2 linked regions of the Rhinolophus ferrumequinum genome follow. The protein of the gene in region 1 purifies or fractionates together with the protein of each later gene. This does not show direct contact. Links are inferred from orthologs where the notes say so. Each region holds a gene or a part of one and is shown in the gene's direction. Other genes may lie near its edges.

The links.
Region 2: the proteins of RSRP1 (region 1) and PSME3 purify together in Homo sapiens (affinity purification with mass spectrometry; 3 studies listed by BioGRID and IntAct, counting the BioPlex papers as one, with this or other methods). This does not show direct contact. The link is inferred for Rhinolophus ferrumequinum from reciprocal best matches to the Homo sapiens genes RSRP1 and PSME3.

Annotation. Positions count from the first base shown.
Region 1 is NC_046292.1:17,297,669-17,305,639, reverse strand, and holds the start of RSRP1 (arginine/serine-rich protein 1), read left to right. Parts: upstream 1-4,958; 5' UTR 4,959-5,161; intron 5,162-5,390; 5' UTR 5,391-5,448; coding exon 5,449-5,971; intron 5,972-6,580; coding exon 6,581-6,732; intron 6,733-7,971.
Region 2 is NC_046304.1:38,471,467-38,479,461, forward strand, and holds the start of PSME3 (proteasome activator complex subunit 3), read left to right. Parts: upstream 1-4,984; 5' UTR 4,985-5,212; coding exon 5,213-5,254; intron 5,255-5,931; coding exon 5,932-5,964; intron 5,965-6,062; coding exon 6,063-6,125; intron 6,126-6,316; coding exon 6,317-6,421; intron 6,422-7,333; coding exon 7,334-7,382; intron 7,383-7,927; coding exon 7,928-7,995. UniProt on the Homo sapiens protein: Subunit of the 11S REG-gamma (also called PA28-gamma) proteasome regulator, a doughnut-shaped homoheptamer which associates with the proteasome. 11S REG-gamma activates the trypsin-like catalytic subunit of the proteasome but inhibits the chymotrypsin-like and postglutamyl-preferring (PGPH) subunits.

The DNA of each region.
Region 1 (7,971 bases):
AACTCCAATCTGGTTGCCATTCCCAGTAACCACTCTTGTCAGTGTCACTTATGCCCTTGTTTCCTGTGCTTTTAATGAAAATCTTTTTAGCAGAATGTCAAGGAAAACTAAAGAGTTTAATTTTTCTTCAGTAAATAAATTTGTCCTCATAACAAAGGATTCTGGAAGTTGTAAAAGGAAGCTTAAGGTGTTCATTTTGGGCAGTATTCTATCACTGTATTCTATAATGCATAATAAGGTGTGAGATTATGCTTTTTTTGTAGTATAGTTGACTGTTTTAGGTGTCTGTTTAAGAAGAGCATATGTTAAAGTTGAATGCCTTTTGAGCACTATTCCCCTGAAAAAGACCAAAAGTTTTGACGTTGGAATATTGATTTTTTAGCTGGTTATTAAGAAAAGACTCAGAAATGGGGTGGCTGGTTAGCTCAGTTGGTTAGCACGTGATGCTAACAACACCAAGGTTGCCAGTTTGATCTCTGTACAGGTCACAGTGAGATCCTTTAAAAAAAAAAGAAAAGGAAAGGAAAAGAAAAGACTCAGAAATAAACTTTGACCCACCCCCCTTTCCTGCCTAAGAGATTCAGATGGAAAGACCTACATCAGGAAGGAAATGTTAGGATGTTCGCTTTAGCAGCCTAATTTGAATTGAGTGTGATGGATGGGAGGGCCTCAAGCTGGGGCCTGTTTACTAGATTACTCCTGCGTCTGTTGTTTCTGGGTTGCCTAGCAGAAATTTACTTGCCATGTACTGCTCTTCCTCAACGACCTGTAAATTGCCTACTTCCTTTGAAATCTCAGACCCCTACCTGCCTTTTCTCCTTTGTTGAAAGTAACAACATAATATATGTACCCAATTTTACCTCACAGTCTTTGGAATTTTCATGCTTATGTGAATTCCCCGAGTTCTCCTGTTACTCCGCCTCTGTTAATTTGATTATTAGCCCAGCTAGAAGAGCTTAGAAAGTGGAAGGAAAAGTATTATTATTTTTTTAGCCCCACACCCCAAGTCCAGCAAGTGTTCTCTTCCCTCGAATTCAGTTAAGTAAAGCTATCTACCATGTCCGTGTATCCAGTCAGCTTTTGAAAGGTAGATTCATATTACTGACAAACTAGGTAGGACCTTGCTCCTTGATAAGCAGATAATTACATTCGTGGCTCACCACAGTCTGCCCCGGCTCTATGTATCCAGCTTTGTCTTCCAAAATTCCCCACCCCAAACTCTTTGCTGTAGCCAAGCTGGTTTTCTGTCCGTCCCCAAATTGTAAAATGGGCATTTATATGTCTAGGATTTTGCTAAGGCCTTTGTTCTTCTCTAAAATCTTCTTTCCTTTCCCTTTGCCTGTCCTTCAAGACTTGTTTCAGATTCCATTGATGTAGAGTATTTTCTTTGTGCTGGGATGGTGTCCCATGAAACCGAAGAATGGAAGCACGGACCAAGGAGAGGTGAGGAGTTGTACAAGAGGATAGTTTATTAAAAGTGAAGAGTAAAGAGTCACAGCTCTTGGAATGAGACGGGGTCCCGACTGGGTTGCCCAACATGGGACAAAAGCTCTGGTTTTTATATCTTCCCTTGCCTGCTTGGAGAATGGGGCTGGCGCCTTCTAATGGCATTCGTCTATCAGGTTTGTCCTGTTTGCCCACCCTAAAGGGATTAACAACCCATTCCTATCTATCAGATCTGCTCCTTTGGCTATAAGAGAATTATGAGATAATTTATTAACCTCAAGGCACATTCTTATACCTTTGTCCTGGGACTTCCCTGTCTACCTAACAACATTCTAACTAACCTGTCTCACTATTTTCATTTGTTTATTCCGTAAACACATCTGAGTGCCTAGCATATGCAATGCACTCTCAGGAATGCTAAGGTACAACAAAACAATGCCTATCCTATGTAATTTATATCCTAGCAGGAAAATGATACATTACAAAATGAATTAATTTTTAATTGAAATAAAATTTAATTACTACAATTGAGATAAATGTTGAAAATATGAGGCACAGGAAAATAGGACTAACTTTAATGGGGAATGAACCAGTTTAGGTGATCAGAAAGGCTTTCTCCTACATTGTTGATACAACCTTTTTAGACAGCAATATGGCAATATATTAACTCACACAGATCCTTTAACCCAGTGATTACATTTTTGAGACTTAATCATGTAACAGTAAAAGTACCAGTACTTAAAGCAGCATGTGACTTTAGTTCCTAGAAAAGCTGCAAATGTTATAAGGTATGATATCTAAGCAAAGCTTCCCAAGAGGTCATGTCTCTAAACTAGCCTGGTGGATTGAGGTCAGCAAATGAAGGTAATCCAATGTGCCACAAAGTACTATTCAAGGGGGTGGACTCACGAGATGCGTGTAGAGAAAAGGACTAAAACACTTTTCTTGATCTACCCAACAGAATCTAATATAATAAACACTCTATAAATATTTGTGGAAGGAGATACAGGCGATGGGGAAGGAACAGGTTTAAATATGTTTGGTAGAGAGAAAGAGATAACCATTAAGCGATTATTGGCATGATGAATCATTGCAGAACCTCTAAATGAATAGTGGGAGGGAGTGAAAAAGAGATACTTGATCAGGCTGGCAAAATAAAACAGAAAAAGTGAAGAAAGCAAAGTAAAACAAATAATAGACACCAATGGAAGAGATAAGATCAACATTGTACAACATTGTAGTTACTCCAATGAATGTAAATGGATTGAATTTACCTATCAAATGAAAAAAATCTTTCATATTGGGTGTAAAATTCAGCTAGGTGTTGTGCATATAAAACACATAAAACCACGTGAGCATATAACAAGAAGGATCCTATTCACAATCCACAAATACCATCAAAATATTTCAGAATACACCTAGCAAGTGTAAGATGTGAATGATAAAAGCTATAAAATTTTAGTGAATGTATTAGTTTCCTATTGCTTCAGTAACAAATAACCGCAAACTTAGTGGCTTACATCAACCCAAATCTATTATCTTACAGTTCTGTAGGTGAGAAGTCTTACTGGGCTAAAGTCAAGGAGTCAGCAGGGATGCCAGATGGACTGGACTCTTCTTGGAGGCCTAGGGGAGAATCAACAACAACTTGCTCAACCAGGTGTTTCAGTTCTATGAGGACTGAGATATTTTCTTTGTGATTGTCACCTGGGAGCCATCCTTAGCTCCTAGCCGGCTCTCTCAGGTCTTTGCAGAAAGCTCCCAACATTTCAAAGGCAGCAACAGGGCAAGGAATTCTCATGCTTTGAGTGTCTTTTGTGATTAGATTGGGCCTACCCAATCAGGATAATCTCATCCCAAGTTCCTTAATTTTAGTCACTGTAAAATTCCTTTTGTTTTTTAAGGTAACATAATCTCAGGTTCTGGGAATTAGGGTATGGACACCTTTGGGGGCTATTAATCTGCCTACCACAGTGAAGGACATAAAAAAATTTAGAGAAAAGTGTCACATTCTTGGATGGGAAGATGTGGTATTGTAAAGATGTCATTTCTGCCTAAATTAGCCTACAAATTCTGTGCAAGATGCTTTAATGATGATTTGGAATTGGGCGAGTGGATAGATGCTCAGAGAAGACTGTACTGTTTAGAAAAACAAGGGATCACTGACATCCCTTGTAGACTTTAACTCAAGTAGATTGCACATATTCTGGAGACAAAAAAACACCAGTATTCTGCACGAGAGCAAAATAACGTTTCCTGTTGTGTTTTCAGTACTTTTTCTAGTCACCATATTTGAGGCACATATTTGACTCATACTATAATCTATCTACAGATTCCTACCACTTTTTCCTTATTCATACCAAGAGCTCAAGCAAGATTGCATCATTTTATATAATTTCACATTATTTCCCCCAACACACCATTTTTACACTTGTCAAATCTGAAACTCATTTTATTTTTCGGTCCATTTACACAGCTTCATGAGAACTTTCAGAAAAAATTCCTGGCAGATGGGCACTGTCTTCTCAGTTTACTTGTGATAGCACTTTGTTTCTAAAGAAACATTTCTTCACTTATTTCCATCATGTTTTCCTCAGAGAAGTGGATGATACTGTGGACAGTGCCAAGCAAGACTGCTAACACCGGTGGGTGGATTCCATGATAAGGTTTTTTATTCCCTCCACTTCTGTGTATTTTTGGGAATGTGGGGGTGAAGGTGAACAAGAGAAAAATGAGTTTGTATCTCCAAGTAAAGTGGCTTTTGTAAAAATGCCACCCTTGATTGCAATGTAATGACTGACTCTCACTCTCCCCACAGATGGTTAGTTGATTCAATAAAAAGTGATTTCAAGGGAATTGTCATGCTTTAATTAGCAACAAGTATGTTTGGAATGTATCCTGTTTATAAATCCTTGGAAATAGTCACGGTTGTTTAATCCCCAACATGAAGCACAGTGAACTCAGAATGATATCTCGGACATCATCGACCCCTTTGATTAAAGGTCACCTAAGGGTGTCTTTGCATTCTTTCTCTACCTATCTTACACTGACTAGACAAAACATGGAAGTAAAAAGCTTTTCTAAGTTAATATTGCATTTTCAGGAATCCTGTGACGCCGGGAAGGATCCGGAAGCGGTCGCCCCCCACCCCGCGGCCGGCCTGACCCTGGTCCGGAGGCAGTGGCCAGGAAACGTCCAGGGAGACACAGCCCGGCCTGCAGCTTCCCAGAGGTGGAGGCAACGACGCAGTCAGCATTAGCTGGGTAGAGAGTTCTGGATCCCGGCGTCACTCCGCGCAGGATCTCCTCACCCTAGGGTTCCAAAACAAAGCCACCACGGGCCGCCAAATACCCGGATGGAGCAGCACCACCTTCCCTCCTCCCCCAGCCCCCTCCACACACTTCCCGCCAAAGGCTGGGTCGTACAAGGGCCTCCAGGAGGCCTTTGCGGGAGGCCAGGGGCGGGGCGTGGGGGCAGGGAGAGGAGGCCACGCCCATTGCACCACCGCTTCTGCGCATACTCCGTACTTCAGCTTCTGGTACTTTCGATGCGTCGGCCGACGCCCAGCTCATTCCGCGTCGGGACGTCGGAGGTGTCGTGTGTGACATTGCTGCTGGAGAGTAGCTGCCCCAAAGCCCCGCTTCGTCCTCAGCTGTGGAGGAAGGCGTCCGTTGGGCCTTTCTCTTCGTCATAAGTGAGGCGTCGGCGACCTGTGGTAAATATTCTGGTGACGGGGTCGGACCCGCGGAAACCTCAGCGTGGGTGGCAGGGAAAGTGCGGGGCCCTGTGTGGCGAACAAAGTGGGGCCGGTGGGGCGGAAAGCTCGGCGTCTGGCGTCGGCAGCACTAGGATCAGGCGAGGCTCGTTCCTTTCCCCGGGCTTCCCCGCCTTCTCCCGCGCGGCTTCCGGAACTTCATTCCCCTCCCCCACTTGTTTGTTCTTAGGAACAGACTGTTCCGGAAGGAGCCTCCAAAACAAGGAAGCGCCACACCGGAGTCCGTTATGTCCAACTACGTGAACGACATGTGGCCGGGGTCGCCGCAGGAGGCCCGGTCGACGTCGGGCCGGTCCAGCCGGCTGTCCTCCGTGACGCGGAGCCACTCGAGAAGCTCGCGATCCAGTTCCGGCGTCTCCAGTCAGTGGTCGTCCAGGAGTCGGAGCCGGCCCCGGCGCCGGAGCAGGTCCGGGAGGTCCAGGTCTCGTTCCCGAAGGCGCCACCAGAGGAAGTACAGGCGCTACTCGCGGTCGTACTCGCGGAGCCGCTCGCCATCCCGCAGCCGCCGCGGGTACTGGGAGAGGCACTACCCTTCCTCGCGGAGGTACTACCGCTCTCCCTCGCCAGACCGATCCCGCAGCCGGTCCCGCTCTCGGGGACGGTCGTATTCCCGAAGGGCCTACGCCGTAACGCGGGGCCGACGCTACTACGGCTTTGGTCGCACGGTGTACCCGGAGGAGCACAGGAGTGGGCGCGGGAGATCCAGGACGCGGTCACGGAGCCCAACCCCATTTCGCTTAAGTGAAAAAGGTGAGCGTTTGGGGTCGAGGCGCAGGTGACTTCTCCTTGGGCACCTTTTTATGCGTGTGGCGGTAGTATGAGCCGGCGAGGGAACCAAAGTTGCTGTGTAGTTACAATGTTTTTGTTTTGTTTGGTGCCTGAAATTTCAATATTTTGGGAGGAAAGGGAGGACTTAAAACTAATAGTTAACACTGCACTGTAGTTGACACCCAGTGTTCACATGGACACCATTTCTTCCCCCTTTGGGATTAAGCTGTAGGTGTTAGATGGCTCAGGGTGGAGGTAACTTTTTCTCCTGGTGGCTGGCAGTTCTTAGTGGAGTCTTCTAAATGTTAAGTGACTTGTTGACTAGCCTTAAGCTCTGCTAAGATGACTATTGAACGGGAAGAAGAGAATCAAAACACTGCTTTTAAAAAAATTAACATTGTATTACTAAAAAGGATTTTGTTGCAGTATTTTATCCAGTATTGTGGTATACTGGATAAGATCATGGAACAGAAAGAAGGGTAAACATCTTTCTTTTGCTATTCTAAATAAAACACGAGCTTATTTTGTGATTCCTGAGTCCTTTTGGGGAGATAGTACAGGATTAATGAATATCTTGTGTTTCTTTTGTAGATCGAATGGAGCTGTTAGAAATAGCAAAAGCCAATGCAGCAAAAGCCTTAGGAACAACCAACTTTGAATTGCCTCCTAGTCTCAGAACTGTTCTTGTATCTAAAGAAACAAGCCGTGGGACAGCTGTAACAAATAATGGTGCAAAGTTGGAGGTAAGTATTCAAGGATTATCCAGACAAAATCTTCAGAAAGCTACTGCCAGAAAGAGCTGATTAGCCATTTTTATTTGATTTACCTTAGACGACTACTTGGAAAGGCTAGTCAAACATTTGTGAAAATCAAAATAGCAGATCTGATGGTACTAGACATGGTCTCCCATAAAAATGGGAGATTAATGAAATTTATTTTCAATTGACACAATTACTTTCATGATTGTAGCTGGTACCTTGGTGATTTTTGTGTAGTTATCAAATTTTTCTAACTATACAGAGTATCTGTAGCTTGCATTTGCAGCATTTTGTTCCCTCAAATTCTGTATTCAACATACAGTATAGTTTATCTGCTTTATTTCTGTCTTATAGAAATCATGAATGTGGTCTCCAGACATTGATGAAGAAAATCTGTTGGTAATTGATACATGGGCATTAAGCATCAGATGTTTAACTAATTTGAAGTTTATGTTCACACACTGAAAGCTTAGTTTTTTTGTTGGTAGATCCATGTGCATGCTAGAATTTGGGATAGGTACTATTTGGAAAAGATATTAAAGACAATTTTTAAACAAAAGTACACTTTGTAATGGTGGGGCATCTGTGATATAGATGTCTCTTTCATAATAAATGCAATATATTCCAGATGGTTTGAGAGATTACAGAAGAAGAGGCCTGCTTCACTTGCAGATAAGTTTCACAATTCTCCAGAAGTGTGCTGGATGTGCATTGGCAAATTGCACTGTGCTTTTAAAGTTATGTGAAACCCAAAGCATAAAATCCATAGCTTTGAAGGTTTAAGGTAGTTAGGAATTGTTAGAATCAGTTAAAAGAGGAAAGATGTCTAGATGAACCTATCATTCAGACCCAGATGTAGATATGCTTACGTATTAGTAGTAGACAAAGACGATCTTACTTCAGTTGTTCTTTTCAGATGATTAGATGCCCAACTGGCAAATGCCTTAGTTCTTTGAAACTATTTATTACCTGGTATAATTTTACTGTCAGTTACTTTATTGGGGAATAGAACACTGCTTTATGGGGTAGAGTGTCTTAATCAGGCCTATTAGGCCAATTTTGTGCTCAACAGAGTACAGTGTTGTTTAGACAGTTAACTATATGGTTAGCTCCAACTTGATTTGTGTCTGTACAACCAAATTTATATATAATTGGGCTGCTTTGTATACAGTACTGTAAACCAAAGTTACGGTTTTTAAAAAATAAATTTTCTCTTACCTGTCT
Region 2 (7,995 bases), on another chromosome or scaffold:
CAAATCCTAAGTGTACAGCTCAGTGAATTTTCACAAATGAACACACCCATATAACCAGCGCTCAACTGTCCTGCCCTATGGCCCCTTCCAGTTGCTGCTCACCACAAGGGTAAATAATTTCCTCAATTCTAACACCATAGAATGTTTTGAACATCATGTAAATGGAACCATAGAGTATGTACTTTTATGGTTTATTTTTAAAATTTTATTTTTCAATCACAGTTGATATTCAATATTTTGTATTCATTTCAGGTGTACAGCACAGTGGTTAAACCTTTATATAATTTATGAAGTGATCCCCTTGCTAAGTCTAGTACCCACCTGGCACTATACATAGTTACTACAATATTATTGGCTGTATTCCCTATGTTGTACTTTACATCCCCGTGACTAGTTAGTAACTACCAATTTGTTCTTCTTAATCCCTTCACCTTTTTCACCCAGCTCCCCAACCTCCTCCTTTTATTCAGTATTGTGATTCCTCCATCTTGTGTATAGTTTTAGTTCATCTATTCTCAATACTATGCAGTATTCCGTTGTGTGAATACATTAAAATTTAGTTATCTATCCTACTCTTGAGAGACATTTGAGTAGTTGCCTGTTGCCACACAGCAGCCTACCCGTCTGTCCCCATGTACCTGCCCCTAAAGAAAGGAGAGTCTGTGAGCCAGATCCTTTCAGGGACTTTGCTTCACCTTTGTGCTTGCACCTTATGTCTCCCTGTTTGGCCCCAAAAAGATGGCTCGTCAGCCAATGATGAGTAAGATTCCCCATGGGGGGGGTGCGGGGGGCGGACAACTGAAGCCAGGCGCAGTCGAGTGGGGACCAACAGGAGAACCCACGGGGTTCATAGAGGAGGGCACATCCCCTACCCCCCCCCCCCCCCCACGGAGAGCCTCTGCCTCTGTGGCTGCATTCCTTCCCACAACCTGCAAGGGAAGAGATTCAATGGTGTGCTCTCCATCTATTCATATGCATAAAGATTTTGTCCCTTGGGGAAGTACATACTTCCTGAGACTTAAAGTTCAGCTGCCTGCAGGCAGGGGTGATTGGCTTGAATCAGTTTCCTGCTGTGATGTGTGGGATTCACAGATCTTGAGATTGACAAGCTTTATCTCCTTTACTTCCCCACCTAAGTAATAAAAACTAGGCGTTTGCCCCATTCGGGGCCCAGTCCTTGAGGCTGGAGTTCCTTGGCCACACTTACACTCTATTCATGGCTAGTCTTTTCTTAACCCTGCGCCACCCTCCTCGCTCCCCACAACCCTCGTCGACAGTTGTCAGTTGAGGCTATTGTGAATAGTGGTGTTATTAACATTCTTGTTTGTGTTCTTGGTGAATATATTTATGCATTTCTGTTGGGTATGTTTCTAGAGTTCGGATTTCTGAGTCACATATATATATAGAAATATGTATCTATATATTTATTGTTTTAGTAGATACTACCATAACTATGGTTGACATATTAAAAGATAATTTGGGTGTGAGCAGAGAATAGAATGTATCAGTGGGGGTGGTGGCAAGAGTGAAAATGGAGACTCGATTGTCCATTGTAATAGTGTTAGCAAAGGATGACAATGGCTTTGAGTAGGATAACAAGTGAGGAGATGGAGAAAAGCATACTCATACAGGATTCATTATACAGGTAAAGCTCACAGGAACTGCTAATGGTTGAATGTGGGGAGATGAGGAAAAGAGAGGAATCAAGGTTGATAATTAGATGTCTGAGTAACTAGGTGGACAGTCATGTCAGTTACTGAGATGGGAAAGAGCAGGAAAGAAAGAGGTATGTGGGAGAACTGAGAATTCTGTTTTGGCCATATTAAGTTTGAGATGCCCATTAGCTATCCAAGTAGAGATGTCAAGTAGACAACTGGAGCTGTTAGATGTAAGGAATGGAGAAATAAATTTAGGACCACCAGCCTACAGGTGTTGAGTACTGAAAGATTCAAGAAAGATGGAGAAGTGACCCCTGGTGCTGTCAATATGGAAGTCATTGGTAACCTAACCAGAACTATCTCAGTGATAACATGGAATGGGAACGCCTGATTGGAGTGGAGTAAATGGGAGATGAGGAAGTAGCATGAGACAATAGTATCATTCAAGAAGTCTTGCCATAAAGCAGAGCACAGAAACAGAGTGATAGCGAGAGGAATCTGTGTTCAAGGGAGGGTTTTTCTCAAGATGGGAGATATTTATCATGTTTGGATGAGGTCCAGTTGACAGAGATAAATGTAATACAGGAAAAATGGGTAATCACTGAAGCACAGATCTTGAGAAAGTGAAAGGGGATGTGTTCCAACGCACAAAATGAAGAGTTGGTTTTTTTGATGGGAATGGGATGTTTCCTTCAACGAGAGGAGGAAAGGCAGAAAGCATTTGCAGGCTGGCAGATTTGGTGGTGAAATGCAGTGCTCATTTGCTTCTGTTTTCTCAGTGAAGAATAAGTCAAGACCATAAATTGGAGGTGGGAGAGGAGGGCTATTGGAGGTTTAGGGCGATGAGAAGTTATGATAGACATTCAGAGTGCGGAAGAGTAAACTTGTCAGAGGCATGTAGTAGGATCTCGGGTAGTGTTGTGCACCCATTTGAGATTTGTGGACATGAATTTAAAGTGAGACCAGTTCTCAGTGATCACGTTTGATTCATAAGTACCCAGAAATGAACAGAATTTGTTACATATAGCGGTGCCTTCAGCAATTGTTTATTCAACTGAATAAATAAACAAACGAGTAGAGTATTATATAAAACATTTGGATAAGGGAGGAGGTAGGGAAAGAGAGAAGGAATGTGTGTCTTATTACAACCTACTTGAAGAAGACAAAACACAATTATCTGAGAACAAAGCCATATTTCAACAAGCACAAACAGTAAGTTTTCAAGTTGAAGTTATTAATGCTGAAAGAAATGCAGGATAATGGCATACTTAAAATAGGGTGAAGTTAATTTGGGAAAGCATTCCTGAGGTTCCAGATCAGAATTTAAAAATTACTAGGGACAAGTGTTATAGAAAAAAGAGGAAAAAGGGGAAAACGTTAGATGTTAATAAGCCACATAGGTAATAATGGCTATGTTGTATGTAGCCTTGAACAACTGGAAAAGCACTTTTGAGTCTGAAAGCAGGGATGATAATTATATAGTTTAAGGGGTAACCTCTTCATGCTAAGCATTAACAGGTAACTTATCTGATAATGGCTACTATGTATCTAGTACCTGCCTTGTGTCCTGGTACTGCACTAGTTCTTTTACATATGTATGATTTCCAACACGACAACCTTAAAGAATTACACATTATTTATTAATGATTGAAATTCCACTTGACAGATGAGGGAACTGACACTCAGCATTTCAGTAATTTTACCAAGCCATCACAATTAGTAAAGAGCTGAGGTGGGATTTGAAGCCATGTCTCTCGGATCCCAAAGGACATAGTCAGTTGCACTTCATTTAACTATGTATTCCCACCATTTCCCTGGCACTTAGCACAGAGGCCTGCCCAGGATAAATGTTCGGCAGCAACGGTGACCCCAAAATGTAAATCAGATGACCTGACCTGCCTTTGCACTTAATCCCAATTGTTTCCTAATAACCCTCCCCACCCCCTTCTCCCTACTATCCCAAGTTCACTAGTTTTTCCATTTCTTCAATAGGACCCTTTTCAAGTATTTGCCTGTGCTGCACATATACCCTTGAAGGCTCATCCGCTCACTCTTCCCACGCTAACCCCTTTATATCCTTTAGACCTCAGCATCATTGTCACTTCATCTGAGAGGCCTTCCTTGGCCATTCTATCTAAAATAGACCCCTGGTATATTTTCTACATCAGTCATTTGTTTCCTAACGCTTACCAAATTTTGTAATTATGTCGTCAGTTTACTTTCTGGTGTCCTTCCCCAGGATTAAGCCCCATGAGACCGGAGAACTTGAGTTTTGTTTACCTTTGATTTCCCAGAGCTGTGCTGTTCAATACACAAGGCACTAGTCACATATGGCTATTCAGTACTGCAAATGTGGCACTTCTGAATTGAGATGCGCAATGAAGTATAAAATTCATACCAGATTTCAAAAGACTCAGTATCAAAAAAGAATGTACATTATCTCATTAATAGTTTTATGTTGATTACACCTTGAAATGATATTTGGATAAATTGGATTAAACATGATTACAATTAATTTCACTTGTTTACTTTTTAGTGTGGTTCCTAGAAAATTTTAACTTACATAAGTGACTCACGTTAAATTTCTAGACTCTAAGGCAGTATTGTCCCAGAGCCTAGCAGTGTCCTGGCCCATTTTATTGAGCGGAGTAATCAATGTTAAGAGACAGACCGAATGAATGGGTGAGTGAAGAGACAGAGTTTCTGCCTTCCTCTAGGAAAATGGATACAGGATTGTCCTAGAAGTCAGGAGACCAGGGTATCTGGTCCAGGATTTACTGGAATCACTGTGTAGCCTACACGACTCCGGGTGTCAATTTGCTCACGAGGCAGTTGATTTCAGAGGTCTGAAAGTGTATGAGAATAAGTGGCGGAGGAAGGTGGGGAAGCCTGGTACAACACAGCTCGTCTTCTGCTTGGCTCTAGCCTAGCCTAACACTAGAGCTAAGGCTAACGAGAGGCGGCAGCAGGAATCACAGGCGAGACCCCGCGAAGCCAGCGCCGGGACCGCCGGCTTCCTGGGTCTGACGTCACTGGGGCGCGACGGCGTCGTCGGTCCTGCCCTCGAAGAGGCAGCGGCTAAGGTCTCTTCGATGAAGACGAGTGCCGGGCTAACGGAGAGTCAAACAGTTCCCGAGTCTCTCTGAGACTCAATTCTCAGTAAATCAGTCTCCACCACCCTTCCTCTTACTGCCCCCTTACCAGGCACAAGATCCCGGGAGATGTAAGCCGGGCGGGAGAGTCCAGCACCTACCTTCAGCGCGGCTGCGCAGAGCACGTGCGCATCCTCCCCGGAGTCCCGGCTATTGGCTGTGACGTAACTTCCGTCGTGAGCAGCGAAAGCCGGGAGGGCGAGCAAGAGGGAGCAGGCAGCAGGCAGCTGGCCCCAGGCAGGCGGGCAGACGGCAGAGGGGGGGAGCGAGCGAACAGTGAGTGAGCCAGCGAGGGCGGACGCGTCCCAAGAGCAGCCGAGATTCCTCCCGTCTCTCTGACCCCCTCCCCGGAGCCCACAGCGCCTCCGGTCTCCAGCGGAGCGGACACGGCCCGGCCCGGCCATGGCCTCGCTGCTGAAGGTGGATCAGGAAGTAAAGCTCAAGGTAGCGGCACCGGTCTGGGCCTCCGTACCCCTTGCTTCGATCCCCGAGCAATCTGACCGGCTCCCCACACCCCGTGGCGTCTTTGTCTCTCTGGGGACACCAGCTCTGAGCTTCCGCTAGGCTCAGCCCAGCCCCCCACTCCCGAGATGGCTTCGGGGGAGAGGATAATATAGGGTGGCCCTCAGTACCTCGTTTGGTGATGGAGAGCCCCGGGGAGACTTCCGCAGACACGTGGTCGACTCAGTGCTTTATGCTAGTGACAGCTGGATGTTCCCAGCCCGCAACATCCCCGCCTCCGGAGGCCGCCGCTGCCCCTGCCATTGGCGTCAGTCCTACATCATGTCATAGGCTGGGGCTGGATGGGGGTTGGCACGTTTATGAGTTCACACCTCCCCTATCTACTTGTCTTTTGTCTGCTCTCAAACTCAGACAGCCTCAGACACAGGGAGGGAGGGAGGGAAGACCGGCAGGTGTTGACCTCAAGCCCTGCTTCCCTCTCCTGAGATGGAGAAATGGGTCCTCAAAAAAATAAAGTATTTGCAATCTGGGGGCCTCGCAGCTTCTCATTACAATAACAAGGTGAGGGAAAGACAGCTAGATTTGGGTTTCCCTACCCAGCCCATACCTCTTGCCAGGTACCGACTTTCTGTTACTGAATTGCTCTTTGTTAATTTTAGGTTGATTCTTTCAGGGAGCGGATCACAAGTGAGGTGAGTGAAATAAATAGAATAATTGGGAGTTTCCCAAAGGAGAGATGACTAGAGAGAGACCATCCCACAATTATTAATGTATTTTCCCTCATCTTTAGGCAGAAGACTTGGTGGCAAATTTTTTCCCAAAGAAGTTGTTAGAACTTGATAGTTTTTTGAAGGTGAGAGACCTTTTTCTTTTCTGCAGATTCCCCAATTATTTTGGCCCTGGTCCTTCTGTCAAATGGGACAAATCATGTATTGATTCTGTTTGCTTTGTACTGTAAAGCTCTCTCATTTCTTGCCCTTCACGTTCTTTGTTCATCTTGAAAAGACTAATGTTTTTTTTGGGGGGTGGGCTTCTCTCTTTTAGGAACAAATCCTAAACATCCATGACCTAACTCAGATCCACTCAGATATGAATCTCCCCGTCCCTGACCCCATTCTTCTCACCAATAGCCATGATGGACTGGACGGTGTAAGTGTCCTATATTTATCTTTGTGTTCTGAAGCAATAGATTTTCTGTCCTCTATTTCTTGGTCAGTTTGAACATGTACAAAGGAGACAGTGGGATTTGGATCTGGGAATGAGGACTTTCACAGACATGATGACTCCAATACACCCCCTTTAGACCCTGATTTTCATTTATAGCATGGGGTGAATTTGCTAATGCTACTCTGTGTTAGCGTGAGTTTCAAGTAGGACTGATAGCTACCGGTTCCCTCAGGTTATCTGGTCTGTCCTCATGGCTCTAAGCAAGACTTTGTATCTGTTTCAATGTCTTGAGTCTTGTTATGGGATCAGTAGTTTTTTTTGGTGTATAACTGTAGTCACTATCTTTACTGTACATCTTTAGTGCCTAGTCTTTATCAGTTAGTTATATGTCCACATTCTGTAACACCGATGACACTGTATTGTTCTTTGTCTGCATTTTTGTCTCACTGGTAGGACTTGCAATTCTGGAAAGCAGAAACTGACTTAATCATCTTTGTATCCCCAGCACTTAGCATTGTTCCTAGTACATAGCAGGGGCTAAATACGTGTTCGTTGATTATTATGTTTCCTTGTGGAACCAGCAGATTTGTACATATTCCCTTAATTTTATTTACCCTACATTGACTAGTTATTTTTTCCTATTGTTTATAGTATCCACCCATCTCCTCTAATTTCTTAATATGGTAATATTTCTTGAAAGGTTGGTTTTACCAGTGAGAACGTAAGTTGCTTTGCGGCAAGAACCTTTTCTTAAAGCCTTGTATATGCTTAGTAAGTTGTACCTAAATTAATAACTGTGGCGTCACAGAAAGGATTAAACTTGCTTGAAGAGTAACTTGTGATAGGCATGTAAGTGTTGCGAGCAGCCTAATTCCTGTCTCTTTACATCCTTAGCCCACTTACAAGAAGCGAAGGTTGGATGAGTGTGAAGAGGCCTTGCAAGGTAAGAGCCATCCTGCCTCACCCCACCCACTCCCTGGCTTGCAGCTTTGAGAAGCAGGATGGAGCTGGTGTTCTCCTGGCCTGGAAGCAGGATCTGATTTTATTTCCCAGAGATCCCATTCCCGAGTCTTCCAAACATGGTCATGATTTAGCACTCTCAATCTAATTTTCCGGTAAACGGAGGGTTTGACCTTGAACTGCCAAAGAAGAGAGGTTGAGGGTGGCTACACGTTGCAGATTTTTCACAGAAGTCCCAGTTTGTGTTATTTTTTTCCTTTTCAATTTAATAGTTGGCACATTAAGTCTTTAGAGCATATTTTAATTTCCTTATTCTTCAGACTTTGAGCATACTTGAGACATTCATTTGTTAATCCATACGTTTTCTCTTTTTGATTCTGTTGGTGGTGTCATGGTTTGTAGATAGGGTTGTGACAGATAAAAGGCAGAGGTCATGGCATCTCATGGGCCTGGGGAGAAAGAAAGGTCGGGGGGTGCTATGTCCTGCCCCCCACCCCAATCATTTGGCCTTCTTCATGTCCCTGCCAGGAACCAAGGTGTTTGTGATGCCCAATGGGATGCTAAAAAGCAACCAGCAGCTGGTCGACATTATTGAG